Linked DNA regions of Arabidopsis thaliana. The protein of the gene in region 3 binds, or shares a complex with, the protein of the main gene of each other region. Each region holds a gene or a part of one and is shown on either strand. Other genes may lie near its edges.

Region 1 (5,821 bases), on a different chromosome or scaffold from region 3:
TGCAACATGTTGAGTCTGGTGCTTTAGCTTTGTTAGTGACAAAAGGAAGACAAGAGTAGAGATCAGACATCGCATCCTGACATCCCTTTATATCCTGACTCAATTCTGATCTCACACCAAGGAACATTACTGCTACTGTTATGCATAGAGCCAACATTTGTGGATTTTGATTGTAAGCCATGAATCTAGCCATCAGTTAATGCAGCAGAGTAAGAACTTAATGTGGCTTTTTATAAGACTTGTTTCTTGTTCACATATGTTTCCCTCTCTAGTTATAGGGATACTCGAGAGTTCTAAGTCTGCAAGAAACTTGATTTAAAAGGATTATATAATGAGTACTGGTTAACATGTCTAATTTCTGAATTGAAATTTGAGTTTTGGAATTTGGATCATCTTCAGTTATTGGAGGGGTACATATAAAATATATCAAGTTGTTCACAGTTCGTTTTCACAGTATCTGCAAGATATCTACAAGTGAAGAGACTAGAAAATTGATGGTTAAGCTGTAGGGTTAAGAGTGTAAGGAGGATTGCAACCATAGAAGACACAGATTTTAATATGGAAAAGGTGAAGTCACTATTTTCTTGAAGAATCTAATTGTTTACATTGTTACAATCACAAGCCAGTGAAGACAAAACTTTCTGGCAAAGAGGAAATAACTATAGAAAGAAAAGCCAAGCGAACCAAGCAGTAAATAAAACTGTGATACAGAGTAGAACGCAAGCGAAAAACCCAGCGGGAGAAACCCCAGGGACATGGCCATGCTATCTACTTCATGTAGCTTAACCATATCCATTGGAACCAGTCTTTGGTATCGGGTTATTACAGCTGCAGTATCTCTATAAAATATTGTTTCGTCTGGCCCTGGGCATGCAGCGAAATTCAGCCAAAAGTGCAATGTGATCAGAAGACCATTCTGGAGATGGAAGAGCTGTGTCCTTCCTCAAGGACTCTTCATCCAACAGTTCCAACAACGATTCCACTGTTAGCGTGTCCGCTGAAACAAAACAAAAAGCAAATTGCTTACCAGATGAAAAAGAAATCTGAGATGAAAGCAAACACTGGCGCGTAAAACCCCTGAAAGTAAGCACTTAAGTTAACCTGTGTAAAATATGTAATCAAGTGTGCCTATAAAGTCCCTGGTACAGTTGGTAAACAACGGTTCACTTGATGCAGGATCCAGTCTTCTACGTTGCTGCTCAGTAATAACGTTGCCTCCCATTTTTGCAAATTGTGAGTAGGCACTAACCTGCAATGGTCACAAAGGTATGATGTCTACGCATATGTTGCCATTCTAATTAAAATTGAAGTCTGCCTTTCACGATTCTGTGCATCTGTTTTCCATTTTTGGGAAAGATAATTACCAGTGGCAGCTGATGAGTAAGCTTGCTGTGAGGACGTAAAATTCCAAGAGGATCAACCATCAAATCTGGGTGCAATGGATCGACCTTTCCCACAGCAAGAAGTGTATGAGGAGCACTGAAAATATTAAGAAGGAACTCCAAGTTAATTCAGGTAGAAACCACAATCATAATTTAATATAGAGTTTGACAATTGCTACTTGGGCATAACAAATAGGAAAACCAGCCAGACCTCGCAGGTACTGTGTTGAAATCTCCACACACAAGCATTGGAATATCTGCACTGGCAGCTATTTTCTCCAGTCCCTTCAATAATGTGTGAACCTATTTGGGCAAGAATCATTATGGATCAATAGTGATGTAAGAATCCGAAATCTGAGAGTTCTTTTACAATGAGAAATAAAGACCAACCTGCCACAGCTTTACATCTTTCAATTCATGAGGAACGTTTACATGCGTGTTAGCCTGCACCCATCAAATACATGAAAAGAGAGAAAACATGATCACCTCGAGACCTTTAAAGGAGAAGAGGAAGTGGAAACACATAACTTCAACTCTAGCATCATCTCTGACAATAAAGAACAATATTGAAAAGATGGACAACTTACCACACAAAGTAGCTGGCGCTTCCCAGGATTGTCAGCAGCCTGGCTACCGAATTTTGCTTCCAGTACAACTATTAAAGCAACATTATCCTAAAAAGAAAGACTCTAAATCAGTTTTACATGAAAAAATATCACCAAGAATGTGCGGAAAACAGAAATCATACTATAGAGCATCTCAGAGTACCTTGACCAACCGATTCAAAGCATTTTTCTTCTGGGAAACAGGGATAATAGCCTCAGTCAAAGACTGTGCAGCCTTGTTGAACTCAACCTGGATGAGCAGCCCAATGATTTAGCAAATGGGCCTAATTAGATAGGTAACAGGAGAAAACTAAGACATACCTCATATTTTTTTACATGTGAGAACCTGTCTCTTCTGAAGAAAGTAGCGCACCCATCAATTGTGTTTGTATTACCGATGAAAACCTAAAATTATCCAGTGAATCAATATTTTCTGGTTGGTACATCTTGCAGATAAGTGACCACGAAAAGGTAATGGAAGATCAAGGGGATGCGTTGAAGCAAACCTCATTTGTTTTCCTCTTAAAAAGACCTTGGTATCCGTGTTTATCCAGCTCAGGAAGAAAAAACTCCTCAAAATGATCATTCTGTACCTGCAAGATGAAAAACGAAAATATTGGAGAGGTATTTATCCATTAACTAGCAATTGAAACGTTTCCAAGTCAGTACAACTTGTGCCATAAATATTTAACATACCTCTTGTAGACAAACTATATCTGCACGGTACTTGACAATTTCCCGTAACAAATTCTGTCTACGGTATGTCCAAGCGAGAGCCCATGTGGGGCAGTAACTGTATATGTCGCTGCTAGCATATGTATCAGACAATATATTGTAGGACAGCACAGTGAATGTTCCCATAGACAAAGGCCGCCCATTAGAATCCAGGTGCCCAGTAACATCAGTTCCACTAATAGAGATCAGCCTACGCGGAGAAGGTGATGGAGCTGGGATAACACGGGAAGTCAATATGGTACAAGAAAGGCCCACATTCTGTTTTGTCTCTGCATTGACTACTACACATTCAAACTTCAAAACATGGCAAATATCATCAGCCATTGGTGTGTATGTCTTAGAGCGTCCAACCTCAACAAGTGTTTCTCCTCCGGCGCCGGTCTTTTGAGTTATGGCTGAAGGATAAACTGATGATGACCCATTCGTTAAACTAACACTGGTGCTGAGAACACCAGATCCAGACCCTGAGCTATTCAAACGGGGCAACTCTTCTTCATCATTTCCTTCTGTAGCAGCACTGGCAGCACGCTCATGCAACACACGGTGATGTTGCCACGCATCCGAAAAGCACTTAGTAGAGCAATGGTAGCTTTTGGCAACAGGAACTTTAGACTTTAGACATCCCAGACACTGCAATGTTGCCGTCTCGGATGGATGCACACTACAAATCGCAACTTTCTTATCACTCTGTACTCGAAACCTGCAACAGATGATGCATCTTTTAATACAGAACCAAAAGACAAGACTGGAGACTTATAAACCCTACTTTACAATTAAAGAAATCATTTTTCACACTCAAATTTGCAAACGAACAAAGACTTGAACTGACTAAGAAACACTTAAACAAATCATACCCGGGAATTCACAGAAAAGTCTCAAACTTTCGGTAAAAAAAAGTCGTCCATAACAAACTCGAGCAAAAGCTAGTAAAAGGGAGCAGATTTAAGAGTAAAAGGAAGCCACAGGCATGACTTACCATCTGTACTTTAAGAAGTGACCTTCAAGCGGGGCTGACTCAGGCACATCATCGGTGGAGGGGGTCTTATCAGGCCGCCGGAGAAGTACGTAAGGTGTAAGTTCGCAGCCAACAATAGGAATCTCCGACGGTAGATGCACTCGTATAACGCTAAGCATTGCTTTTACCGTAACTAAGTTAAATTCTGAAAGCAAACCAACACTAACGAAGCCCAAAGGCTGAGATTTTTAAATATATATATTGAGACGAGAGAGCATAAGATATAAAACGGATCCTAATGGATCCGTCATTTACTTGACCCTAAAACTCGACAGCATGGATGAACCCTAATTTTCCCAGAACCCTAATTTTCCCAGAACCCTAGATTTACCCCCAATTTTCTCCAAACCCGAATTTTACAACCTAAAATTTATGAAATTGAAATCCAATGAGTGGGATAGATTTGTTCGCTACGACTAAATTAATTTCCAAAGATGGACAAAGACCAAAGAAAAATACTTGGGTTCTATATTCACTGTTTTAGCCCATTAAAATTTAAAACCTAATAATAATAATAAAAGTTTAATTTAATTATAAAATCTAATTTGCCTCAAAAACAAAATTATATATCGATTTGAGTTTATTTGAAAAAATCATGGTTTAGATTTTACAATTAAACAAGGTTAAATATTGATTTGGGTTTAGAAAATACGATTAGGGTTTAGATTTTATGATTAAACGAGATTAAATATCGGTTTTGGTTTAGAAAGTACGATTAAGGTTTAGATTTTATGATTAAACGGGTTAAATATTGGTTTAGATTTATTAACAGGTTTAGATTTAACAATTAAACAAGGTTAAATGTCGGTTTGGGTTTAGAAAATACGATTAGGGTTTAGTTTTTTTACGACTAAATGAGTTTAAATGGCGGTTTGGATTTACAAAGAAGAATTAGGGTTTAGATTTTGTAATTAAACGAAATTATATATCGGTTTGGATTATAATTATAGCTTCAATTTATTATGTAATTTAAATAGGATTTGACATGACATATTTTTATTAGTTAATGCAAAAGGAGGTGAACAAAGAGGTTCATCCCCCTAGGAATGAACGCAAGTCTCGTTCAAGACCAAATATGGACTCGTATTTTTATTTTATTTTATTTTCCAAAGGGAAACAAAAAGTCTTTAATACTCTTTTTTCTATATACACATATATTCACCTATTTATAATAAAAAAGATTGAAACTTACGGAAAATATAATACAGTACAAACTATATATGTCAACTAAACTAAATAACACTTAATTAAATGATGTATATAGATTGCATAACCAAGTATATAATATTATATAGTTAACATTATAAATATAAAATTTCATGTTAAATAACCAATTAACTCTAACGTCAACCGGTGTTAACCAACAAAAATATTCAAAAATAAATTTTTACTTTATTTTTAATATTAAAAATCTAGTTTTACTAGTTATTCTATAATCAAAAAACAATTTTTACATCTACTATAAAAATATTTTGCATATATATTTAATACATTGATTCTTAAAATATTTAGCTTTTTTTAATTTCAAAACTAAACTAAAAATGAAAAAAATGATTAAAATTTTTAAAACAAAAAAAAAACTGAAATTAAAACCAGAAAAATCTTATTAGAAACATATGAGTGAAAGAATCTTTTTTTTGTATTATCAATTAAAATATATAAACTTCTTTATTCATTAGAAAATAAATCATTACAGAACCAAATACACATGACTATATAAGTTTCATAAGAAAGTAATATGAAAAACAATTGAGTATATAACTTTTTAGTCTAAATTTTGCACGGTAATTTTTAAATTCAAAGTAAATGTTTTTTACGAATAATATAAGAAAAAACTAACTATTGATTAAAAATATTTAGCAATTAAAAATTTAACTTCTTAAGAAACTAACTATTATTATTATTATTATGAATAGTTCATATCTTAAAAAAATATTTATTCTCTTAGTTTAGTTTTGAAATTGAAAAAATAAAGTAAATATTATATGAATTAATGCATTATATATATATACAAAATATATTTATATTGGATATAAATATATTTTTTTGTATTTTACAATATCAAATAACATTAATTTTTTTAA
Region 2 (6,132 bases), on a different chromosome or scaffold from region 3:
TCAGTACTAGTGTCTGATACTAGGAAGAAGATGATTTTATCGGTAATATTGGTAGAAGCCTTCTTTCTAAGCCTTGAATGGATCGATTTTGTTTGCTTTCTATTGTCTGTTGTTTCGTAATTACCGATTCATGTTTGAACTTTGTGGTTGATGACATTGATGTTGACAAAGTATCATCTTGATCGTTGTTTTAAGTTGTTTGACTATATGAATACTGCATTCTTTTGTTCAACCAAGCAAAATTTTTTGTATGTTAAGCATGTGTACCTTGTAATCTATCGCTGATTGACTTATATTATCTTTCGAGAACATGGTCCAAGACTAATTTTCGTATTCACAGAATTTTTTCAAGCTCACTTTTGTGAAACCCTTGGTTGGAACATCTTTTGCGTCAACTAGTTCTTTAAATGTACAATAAGATGTGATTATGAAAGTCTAAAGACTGTTAACAACGTCTTAAATTTGGTACTAACTATTTCATTGCAGTTGCTTGGGTAGTTATGTTCTTGGTGTTACATATATTTTCTCTAATTTGTGATCAAGGAAAATTCTTCATGTTCTAATAATGGATTGACTTCCTCTCAGCATATTACAATGACATATGTGTTGGAGCTATCGCCTGTCGGCTGGAGAAGAAAGAAAGTGGGGCCATGCGAGTTTATATAATGACGCTTGGTGTTCTTGCACCCTACCGTGGGATTGGCATTGGTAAGTCATAAATCTGCTGTGCAAAACTTGAATACCGACAAAACATGAATAATGAAGAAAACTGTTAGCATGTTGTGTAATTCTGTTGTTTTCCTTACGTTTTAACACATGAGGCCAGCTGTAGTATGTTTATTCTGTAGTTCTCTATTTGAAGTGTCTCCATTTAGAGATTCAAACCACCAAGAAATAGTCCTTAGGGTTTTATGCATATCGTTGTTTTACCGAGAAACTGGAATTATGATTCCTCCTATATCAAGATTTAAGATCGAATTCCCTGCTTTAGAAAGAAAAACTCGATGTCTATAATTTGTGTATCTTGTTTTTTTCGTCTTTTGCAGGCTCAAATCTATTGAATCATGTTCTTGACATGTGCTCCAAGCAAAACATGTGTGAGATATACTTGCATGTGCAGACAAACAACGAAGACGCAATCAAGTTCTACAAGAAGTTCGGCTTTGAGATCACAGATACCATACAAAACTATTACATCAACATTGAGCCAAGAGATTGCTACGTTGTCAGCAAGTCCTTTGCTCAATCTGAAGCCAACAAATGATGAAAAATACCAAACTTGGGGAAGCCATTCCTCCCCAGTTTCTTTGTTGCATTCAGTTCAAGATCTATTAATGTTATGATGATCCTTCGGTTTCCGAGTTTTGCTTGTTTTGTTGACCTTAATTTTTCTTACTGATTCTAAATTTATAAATTCCTGGTTATATACTTGCATGATTTCTCTAATGTCCTCTTGGCTTTGGACATTTTCGTTTGGAAAAGTTTTTAACTTTGCAACTCAAAGCTTTACTACCAAGTATCATCGTGTTTGTAAATGTTGGTCTATGAATTTGAGTAAAGAGAGACAATGATTCTTGTTATGAGCTGTAGAATAAAGTAAAGAAAAAAATGAAGAATTTATGACTTGCGTTTTGGCTTGCGTGCCATTTATTCACAGTGAAGACTGGAAGATGTGTTCTTCTTGAATCAAAAAACGGCACGTCTTATGAGTCTCCGTTCATCGGTGTCTGCAATTAAGCACCGGTTCCTCGAGCTTCCTCACTCAATTCGATTGACCAATGCGGCGTTCTCGTTTTGTTGCTCAAGTTTTCTCCGACGTTACCTTCGCTGACGCCTCCACTATCTCTGCTCCAATCTTCACCATGTCTACTCGTGCTCCGGTAAATTTTCTCAGCTATTCTCTTGTTCTATCACTCCCGCTGCGTTGCTTCGGTTACTGGAATATAATTTGTTTCTTACGAAGCAGTACAGAGGTGCCCGAGGACGAGGACGAGGCCGAGGTGGGAGAAGTTTCTCCGATCGTCCGTACAATGATGACGCGGGAAGAGATCAGTTCGTTACTGGAGATTCTCATTTTCAATCAGTTCATGACGCCAATTTCCGATTCCGGCATGGTGAACCTTATCGACAACATCAGCCTCCGCTTGATCAGCGGCAGCAACCACCGTTCAATCAGAATTACGAATTTCGACCTCCGCCGCCGTCACGAGGTCAGTGGCAACAATTCCGTCAACCTAATCAGTTTCCGTCTAATCAAAACTACGCGGCTTGCCCTCCCCCTCCGTTCTATCAAAACCAGATGTCCCGGCCGCCTCCACAGCAGAGCTTTCGTCAACGGCCACGGTCAAAACCTTCAGATTACCGTGAATGGGAATATGCCAAAACGCCACCGTCTCCTGGCTCCGGTAATTTATGCGTGACCATCTCATTTGCTCCGGTATACAATTTTTGATTTGCTTTCTCTTGTCTACAGAAAAGTTTGTTGTTTTATCGTATAATATATTGGCGGATTACCTTGCAAATGATCACTGGAGAAGTCTTTACTTTCACATACCGAGGAATATGTTGAGTTGGGGATGGAGAAAGAGCAAATTAGTGTTCGAGCTTAGCCTATGGTCTGCAGATATAATGTGCCTTCAGGTTATAGTTTCTGCTATATCTTCTTGGTAATTGCTTGTATGAGGGACTAAGGAGACAAAACTTTCTTGCTTTACTATTTTTTTATCATATGTATACAGAATGTATCTTCCATATGTATAGTAATCTAAAATTATTTTGTATATGTCAGGAAGTTGATAAATTTCAGGACTTAGAGGAGGAGATGAAGCACCGGGGATATAGTGCTATTTGGAAGGTAGGTTTGTTGAAAACTTTTAGTTGTCTTGAGTTTGTATTCTCTACGGACTCTCTTGGAGTAAAGATTAAATGGTATGCATCATAAGAACTAGGCTTCAAATGTGGGGTTAACTCTATTTTATAAAACTGTAGATGCGGACTGGTAATGCTGTTGACGGATGTGCAATATTTTGGCGATCCAATAGGTTTGATTCCCTTGCTCTTCCTTGTGTGGATCAGTCTGGAATCTTGTTTAGGATTTCATTGTTATCATATTAGATTCAAGTTGGTTCACGAGGAAAGCATCCAGTTCAATCAACTTGGTCTCCGAGATAACGTTGCTCAAATATGTGTGCTTGAGGTAATATGGATACCTTATGTTGATAGTGACTTATATACATTTGCCTCTTTGCCCTAAATTAAATTTGCTCTGTGTAGACATTGTTGACTTCACATACAAAAGAAAATGAGACCCCTCCACCTGAAAGGTAACTTAAAAGTATCTGTAAATGTTACTATCATATCATTTTATGGGTGGATAATTTCACTAGGAAGTGGCCGATTTTCTTCAGATTTCAGTGGTTTTCTGTATGGACTATACTTTGTGGGTGGGTTGAAGTGAATTACCAATTTCTTTTACAGCTCTGCTGGTTCCCATCGAGTTGTCATTTGTAACATTCACGTGCTTTTTAATCCTAAAAGAGGAGACTTTAAACTTGGTCAGGTACTTTCCTTTAATGCCATATTCTAGTTTGTAGAAATCTTTTGCCAAACGACAGTTTTACTCTCTGGTTTAACTCTGTCTATACGCTATGAACATGTATAAGTGTTAGGTGTTTGAGATAAAACTTTTGAAACCAAACGCTTCGCCCCTTGCTTAACTTGGTTTCTTTAACTGTTTCCATTTATCATCTATGTATTTATCTCTGTTACGTAGGTCAGAACACTCTTAGATAAAGCTCATGCTGTTTCAAAACTCTGGGATGATGCGCCTATTGTTCTTTGTGGGGATTTCAATTGTACACCAAAGGTAGGACAATCTTACCTTAACCAGTTTGTATACCCCAAAAAACTTGTTTTGTGACATGGTCATAACATTCTTCCACCTGGTTGCAGAGTCCTTTGTACAACTTTATTTCAGACCGGAAGGTAAAGCTTCATTGTTAGGAAAGTCCTTCACCTATTCGCAACATTATATATATGGTTCACATTGTGTCTTGTGCTGCTCTCTGCAGTTGGATTTGTCTGGTTTGGCCAGAGACAAAGTTTCGGGGCAAGTTTCTGCTGAGTTTCGTCCACCAAGGCCAGAAAATTATACAACGAGGTAGAGCAAACTCACCAAGTTCTTCGACATCATTAAGTATATGGTTATGCAACTTAACACCTCCATGTCTACCCTAGAATATCGGGTTCTACTCTGCTTTTGCAATTGTCAGCATGGTTGATAGGCCTCCTCAATTTTCCAGGTATCAGTCCGCCAACAAATCTCCACAAGGTCAAGTTCAACCACCAAATTTGATCACAAATGCTCATATGGAGAATAACTCCAACATAGATGTTGGAACGGCCCCCTCCGAGAAGACATCTGAGCTTCCATGTGGTGATACAATTCTTGCTGGTCACGAAGCCACCTCCAGCTCTGACCAAGTATTACCATGCGAGAATATGGCCTCAGATTGTCAGTTTGGAATAGAAAACAGAAAACCTGATGATTCCGGGAATCTCTCGACAGCTGAAGATCTTTCTTCACTAACCATATCAGATACAGAACCTCAACATGCTTCCAGTGCTAGAGAAGATTTGAATACAGATCGTTCTGTAAGTTCCGGTTTATCAGAAACAGAGCAAACTCCTGAGGAAATATGTTCCAGTGATCAAGATATTTCATCTAGTCTCTCCACCAAGGTTGACACTTTTGTGGCTGAAATGAAACTAGATGGCTTAAAATTGGACGAACCAGTAGTATTCGCGCAAGATGAAGAAAGTTTAGGTGAAGATGGGGAAACCTTTTTGGCTAAGCTACACGATAACAATGAAAACTTGAGTCAAAAAGGGGAACTTGTGAGTGAAGTTCCACTTAAATGGAGTTCTGAAGCTTTAAATAGTGACAAAATCACTTATAGTCCATCCTCTTGGACTCCAATGGAGATAGCAACTGCAACTGGTGACCCAGAGAGAACTACGGTTGAACATGCTCTGGAGCTTAAAAGCACATACTCAGAAGTGGAGGTATTGTAATATATCCTCCCTACAGTTTTTCCCTTTTATCTTCTGTTTCTTGAGAAATTATATCCTTAGGAAGCTGTTGAAATTTGTGGTTAGGGTCAAGCAAACACAAGGGATGAAAACGGAGAACCTGTAGTGACCAGTTATCACAGATGTTTCATGGGGACAGTTGACTACATATGGTATTAGCATTAGAAGCAAAACCATTTGTGACAAACCTTAAAATTAGATTACTTCATTATTGTAAATTATGCGCGTTTTGACATATTCTCATGTTTGATTTCTGGTTTGGGTTAGGCGGTCGGAAGGTCTTCAAACAGTGCGTGTGCTTGCTCCAATACCAAAGCAAGCAATGCAGTGGACTCCAGGCTTCCCGACTCCTGTAAAATCCCATGATATTCTTATATAGCCTACCTTTTTAACTGAATTGTTTACAAAACTTTTTTATGTTTGTATTTCTGGTTTGTTACAGAAATGGGGAAGCGATCACATTGCACTGGTTTCAGAGTTGGCCTTCTGCAGCAGCAAAACTCTGCCCAAAAGCTGATATTAAACTGGTGGTGAGTTCATTAGAAATCTAAGAAAGTGTAAAGAGATTAGATGGTTGAGGTCTTGGGTTCAAAGCACATCCTTGTTGCAATGTTTGTGCTCTGAAGGTCGCCAATAGCTTATTTTATATCCCAGCAAAACATCTAAGAGTAAACTTTTACAGAATCTCATAGGCTCTAGTTTTGTATTTTTCTCTATCATATTTTACAGTGACAAATTATATTTGAGTTTTTCTTTTTGGGCGACACTCGATTTCAGAAAATCTGCTATAAAAGTTTAAAGCATGCTTCTTGATTTTAAATAGCTTCAATTGTTAACCCCTAACTCTTTCAGCTTTAGTCTAGACTGACTCTTTCAATTATTACAAATAAACACCTAGCATTTATCCATGTCCCTGTGTCCAATATAAGGACATCTCACATTAGGACCTAATCCCTGCAATATAATTCAGAGCATCCAAAACTTCTTGCATCAATGGTCGTTTCTTCTTGTCCCGATTGGTGCATCTTTGGATGAGTGTGA
Region 3 (3,268 bases):
TAATCGCCAAGCCAAATTCACACCAAGAGCCATCGCGAGAATAATGCACGGAGTTGGAAGTCCAGCTTTTCCGAATTCAGTCTGGTCCAAGACTCATTTCTGGTATATTCATCATCATCAGCTAAACCAAGCCATGCAAGTTATTGTTTGGTGATGGTACATGTGATTTAATTGAAATATGGCTTTGCAGGGGAAGGTATATGAACGTAGACTTCCGAGTGATAATGGAAGCGGCACAAACAGAGTTGTTCAATTTTGTTGACAGGAACGCAGCTTTAGCTACATAACATAAGATTAGAGGCTTTGAGTAGATTCTTAGGATATTTAAATTTATTTGTATTGTATTCTAGATTCATTGAAAGTATCCAGTAAAGAGAAATTGTGTCATATGAGAGTTGAGAGAATTGTTTTGATCGACAAGAAAAGATGAAAGTTAATCTTTAGTATTTAAAGAAACATCTGATAAAACTAGAAATTATACATAATAGCAGAGCAAGTCATGTTAAACAAACATTCAGGCATCACAAAACGTAGTTCCTTCCTTGGACCGGCATCCCAAAGTAACCACCACCAAAATACGGGTTCGGGTGATGAGCAGCAAACATCACCGATCTCGGTCTCGGTATAGGTATCGGTATTGGGATGTAACATCTAGTCATCATAAGCTGCTGCTGCTCTAGTTGATATTGCTGATGATCAACTCGTCTTACACACTGCTTTCTACTATTGAGCAAATCGAAAGTCAACTTAGTGAAGACACGAGCCGTCAATTCACTGTCTGAGCCAGCGTGATGAGCTTTTCCAACACGTTTCATCTGCAACACATCAGCTATTCTCTGTAGTCCGAATCGGCTACTTAGTCCGCTGCATGATTCAGCGATTTTCTTTACGTCAAAAACAAACTTTCCCAAAAGCTGCTCGACGGTCTCGTGAAACTCTTCCTTAGTCTCCGGTAACGGTTTCCCTCCCGTTAAGCCTTTAACGAGATAAGCATTGTCGTAAGAGCCTTGAAAATTCACCCAAGTTATCTTTCCGTCCTTCTCCTTGAGAATCTGAGAAAAGTCTCTAAAGAATTCTTCGATTCCAATACCTTCCTCTCCGATCTTGTCCAGATTGAGACCATTGCTTTTGAGAAAAGCTATGGACTTATCGTTTTTGAAGCACTTATGTTCGTTGAAATCTGACAAGTTTATTTCCCAGGTTTTAGTGATTCCTCTTCTGTCGAATAGCGTGAAACCTAACTGGATGAGATGGGTGTTGTCCACATTGAACTTCATGTCTCTGTAACGAATTTCCTCACTCGCGTCCATCGGAGTCTCCTTTAAGCATCCGGGAAACTCTGTGTCGATAGCGATGGAACTAAAATGTTTCAAACAATCTCTTATCGAATCCATCTCTACTTCCTTGTTCCATCTCCAAACTTCACCCATCTCTCTCGGATTTTGAAGACTGAAACAGTTTGTTTATCTGAAATACTAATCTCTCTCTCTATCTGATTTCGGAGACTCGAATACTAATAGCAGTGGGAGTTTCCTTTTTTCTTACGTCGCCGGAAAGTTTCCATTTTTTTCCAGTCAAAAAGTTCGTGTTGACTTTTATCACTCCTAATTTAATTCTTGTTGGACACGAGATTTCCATTTTCCTCTCAAAAGCCCAAAATAAGAGAAGCCTGTTTCCGAAGCGGTTTACAATTTTAATACTAAACCGAATTAAATCACTAAACCGAAGTCTGACTAATACCAAAACCTTTTTCTTTTCTTTTTTCGTGTAAACATTATCATCTTTTAAACATAATACTAAGAACATACCAAATTGGGTTAAAAATTTAAAACTCATGTCGAATGAGAATAAAGAAAAGTTTAAGTTGAGCCAAAAAAAAAAAAAACAGAACATACAAAATTTGAAAATTGTCTCTAATAACAAATCTTCTACAGAAAGCTTCTCTTTTCTATTCTTTATAGGGCTAGTTGAATCTTGTATTTATGTTTGAGACATCAAATTTATTTCTGTCCTTTACGAGCAAGAAAGCGTTCTCTGGCTGCTTCAATCCGACTCTCAACATTTTCAGAAACTGCAGGTGTTTCTGCATTGTTTTTAGACAACTCCGTCTTCTCCTCAGGTACTTTGAAAGAGGGAGCCGGTCCACCGCTACATGGCAGATTAAATGATACCGATCAATTACTGAATCCAAGACCAGACAAGAAAAAGCTAGAACAAGACTGGATTGAACTAGTAAAGAGTAATGTTTGTTTTTACCTCAATTTTCTGACATTTAATTTCTCGATCTTTCTTTTGATGGGAGCCACCCATGCCATATCTACTGCACAAACATTCCGCATGAACGGACGTGTGGTGGAAATCAGCTCATGGTACACTACGTAGTTAGGCATCATTCCGTCATTGTCGGCACTCAATACAGATGATGGATGCACCTAGAATCAACCAAAAACGTCAATATGTCGATGATCATACGAAACTGGAAATGCTTACATATCTGAGCTACTGATGTAATAGAAAATCTAACACTGTAACAGATAAATGAGACTTGGATTGAGAAGTAATGCCTGGACTAGCTGGGACTGGAAACTAAGAGTCCGGTATCCATTGTGACGAAGCATTCTCTCAGCAATTTGGTTTGCATTACCAACGCATAGAGCTTTCCTCAACTTCCTGTAGTCGTCTCGGCTTGAACTCTTCCTACCATCTGCCCCAACTTCCAATCGATCTAGTTTGTCAAGGAGACCAAATATTTTAGTGACGGTTGGTTAGGTATGACACAGCCACCTATCACATCTCACAAGATAAAAGAGTGATGTTGACATAAACTCTGGTTCTGTTGGAGGCATAACCATTTAGGGTGAAAGCCATAGAGAAATAATTATATATTCTTTCACGGAATCTTCTTGTCATGAAACAATCTAACCTTTGGATATTTTCTGCATAATCTGACATAACTGTCTTCTAACATCTTTGACAAACACCATCCCTCGCACCTGCAAATTATTTTTCAACAAAAGTTATCTTTCTTATTGGCATAAGGAACCCACGTAATAATGTACCGAAATAGACTATCTAAACAAAGGTAGTAAATTTCAGTAACTCCCATAATTGTTGGTTATAAAACTGTATGAAGCAGAAAATACAAACATTGACGCCCATCGGAGTCAGGTCTCAACAATGAAGGGATTTTCTATGCTATATAGATTGTATTAACTGCAGAGACAGCATATAACTGACCACCTTCTGAAGTAACAATGCAGTAAGGCTT

What was found. The genes of interacting proteins can lie anywhere in the genome.
Region 1: AT1G27890 (region 3) and AT3G58560 share a complex: the UniProt entries of both Arabidopsis thaliana proteins name them as parts of the CCR4-NOT complex.
Region 2: AT1G27890 (region 3) and AT5G11350 share a complex: the UniProt entries of both Arabidopsis thaliana proteins name them as parts of the CCR4-NOT complex.

The regions. Positions count from the first base shown.
Region 1 is NC_003074.8:21,650,041-21,655,861, forward strand, and holds AT3G58560 (DNAse I-like superfamily protein), read right to left. Parts: upstream 4,161-5,821; 5' UTR 3,857-4,160; coding exon 3,699-3,856; intron 3,423-3,698; coding exon 2,684-3,422; intron 2,581-2,683; coding exon 2,494-2,580; intron 2,393-2,493; coding exon 2,309-2,392; intron 2,238-2,308; coding exon 2,151-2,237; intron 2,057-2,150; coding exon 1,970-2,056; intron 1,827-1,969; coding exon 1,773-1,826; intron 1,686-1,772; coding exon 1,594-1,685; intron 1,480-1,593; coding exon 1,365-1,479; intron 1,250-1,364; coding exon 1,102-1,249; intron 998-1,101; coding exon 840-997; 3' UTR 525-839; downstream 1-524. Other genes in the region: AT3G58550 (Bifunctional inhibitor/lipid-transfer protein/seed storage 2S albumin superfamily protein), read right to left, coding at 1-193. UniProt on the Arabidopsis thaliana protein: Acts as a catalytic component of the CCR4-NOT core complex, which in the nucleus seems to be a general transcription factor, and in the cytoplasm the major mRNA deadenylase involved in mRNA turnover.
Region 2 is NC_003076.8:3,619,805-3,625,936, forward strand, and holds AT5G11350 (DNAse I-like superfamily protein), read left to right. Parts: upstream 1-1,714; 5' UTR 1,715-1,778; coding exon 1,779-1,880; intron 1,881-1,963; coding exon 1,964-2,405; exon of another isoform or gene 2,406-2,412; coding exon of another isoform or gene 2,413-2,473; coding exon 2,474-2,640; intron 2,641-2,788; coding exon 2,789-2,854; intron 2,855-2,988; coding exon 2,989-3,041; intron 3,042-3,114; coding exon 3,115-3,196; intron 3,197-3,273; coding exon 3,274-3,323; intron 3,324-3,477; coding exon 3,478-3,559; intron 3,560-3,772; coding exon 3,773-3,865; intron 3,866-3,951; coding exon 3,952-3,984; intron 3,985-4,070; coding exon 4,071-4,159; intron 4,160-4,301; coding exon 4,302-5,064; intron 5,065-5,157; coding exon 5,158-5,243; coding exon of another isoform or gene 5,244-5,250; intron 5,251-5,358; coding exon 5,359-5,443; coding exon of another isoform or gene 5,444-5,470; intron 5,471-5,533; coding exon 5,534-5,608; downstream 5,609-6,132. Other genes in the region: AT5G11340 (Acyl-CoA N-acyltransferases (NAT) superfamily protein), read left to right, coding at 586-708, 1,047-1,264; AT5G11360 (Interleukin-1 receptor-associated kinase 4 protein), read right to left, coding at 6,032-6,132. UniProt on the Arabidopsis thaliana protein: Acts as a catalytic component of the CCR4-NOT core complex, which in the nucleus seems to be a general transcription factor, and in the cytoplasm the major mRNA deadenylase involved in mRNA turnover.
Region 3 is NC_003070.9:9,713,615-9,716,882, forward strand, and holds AT1G27890 (Polynucleotidyl transferase, ribonuclease H-like superfamily protein), read right to left. Parts: upstream 1,563-3,268; 5' UTR 1,431-1,562; coding exon 522-1,430; downstream 1-521. Other genes in the region: AT1G27880 (DEAD/DEAH box RNA helicase family protein), read left to right, coding at 1-102, 191-287; AT1G27900 (RNA helicase family protein), read right to left, coding at 2,001-2,148, 2,257-2,432, 2,565-2,725, 2,924-2,993. UniProt on the Arabidopsis thaliana protein: Ubiquitous transcription factor required for a diverse set of processes. It is a component of the CCR4 complex involved in the control of gene expression.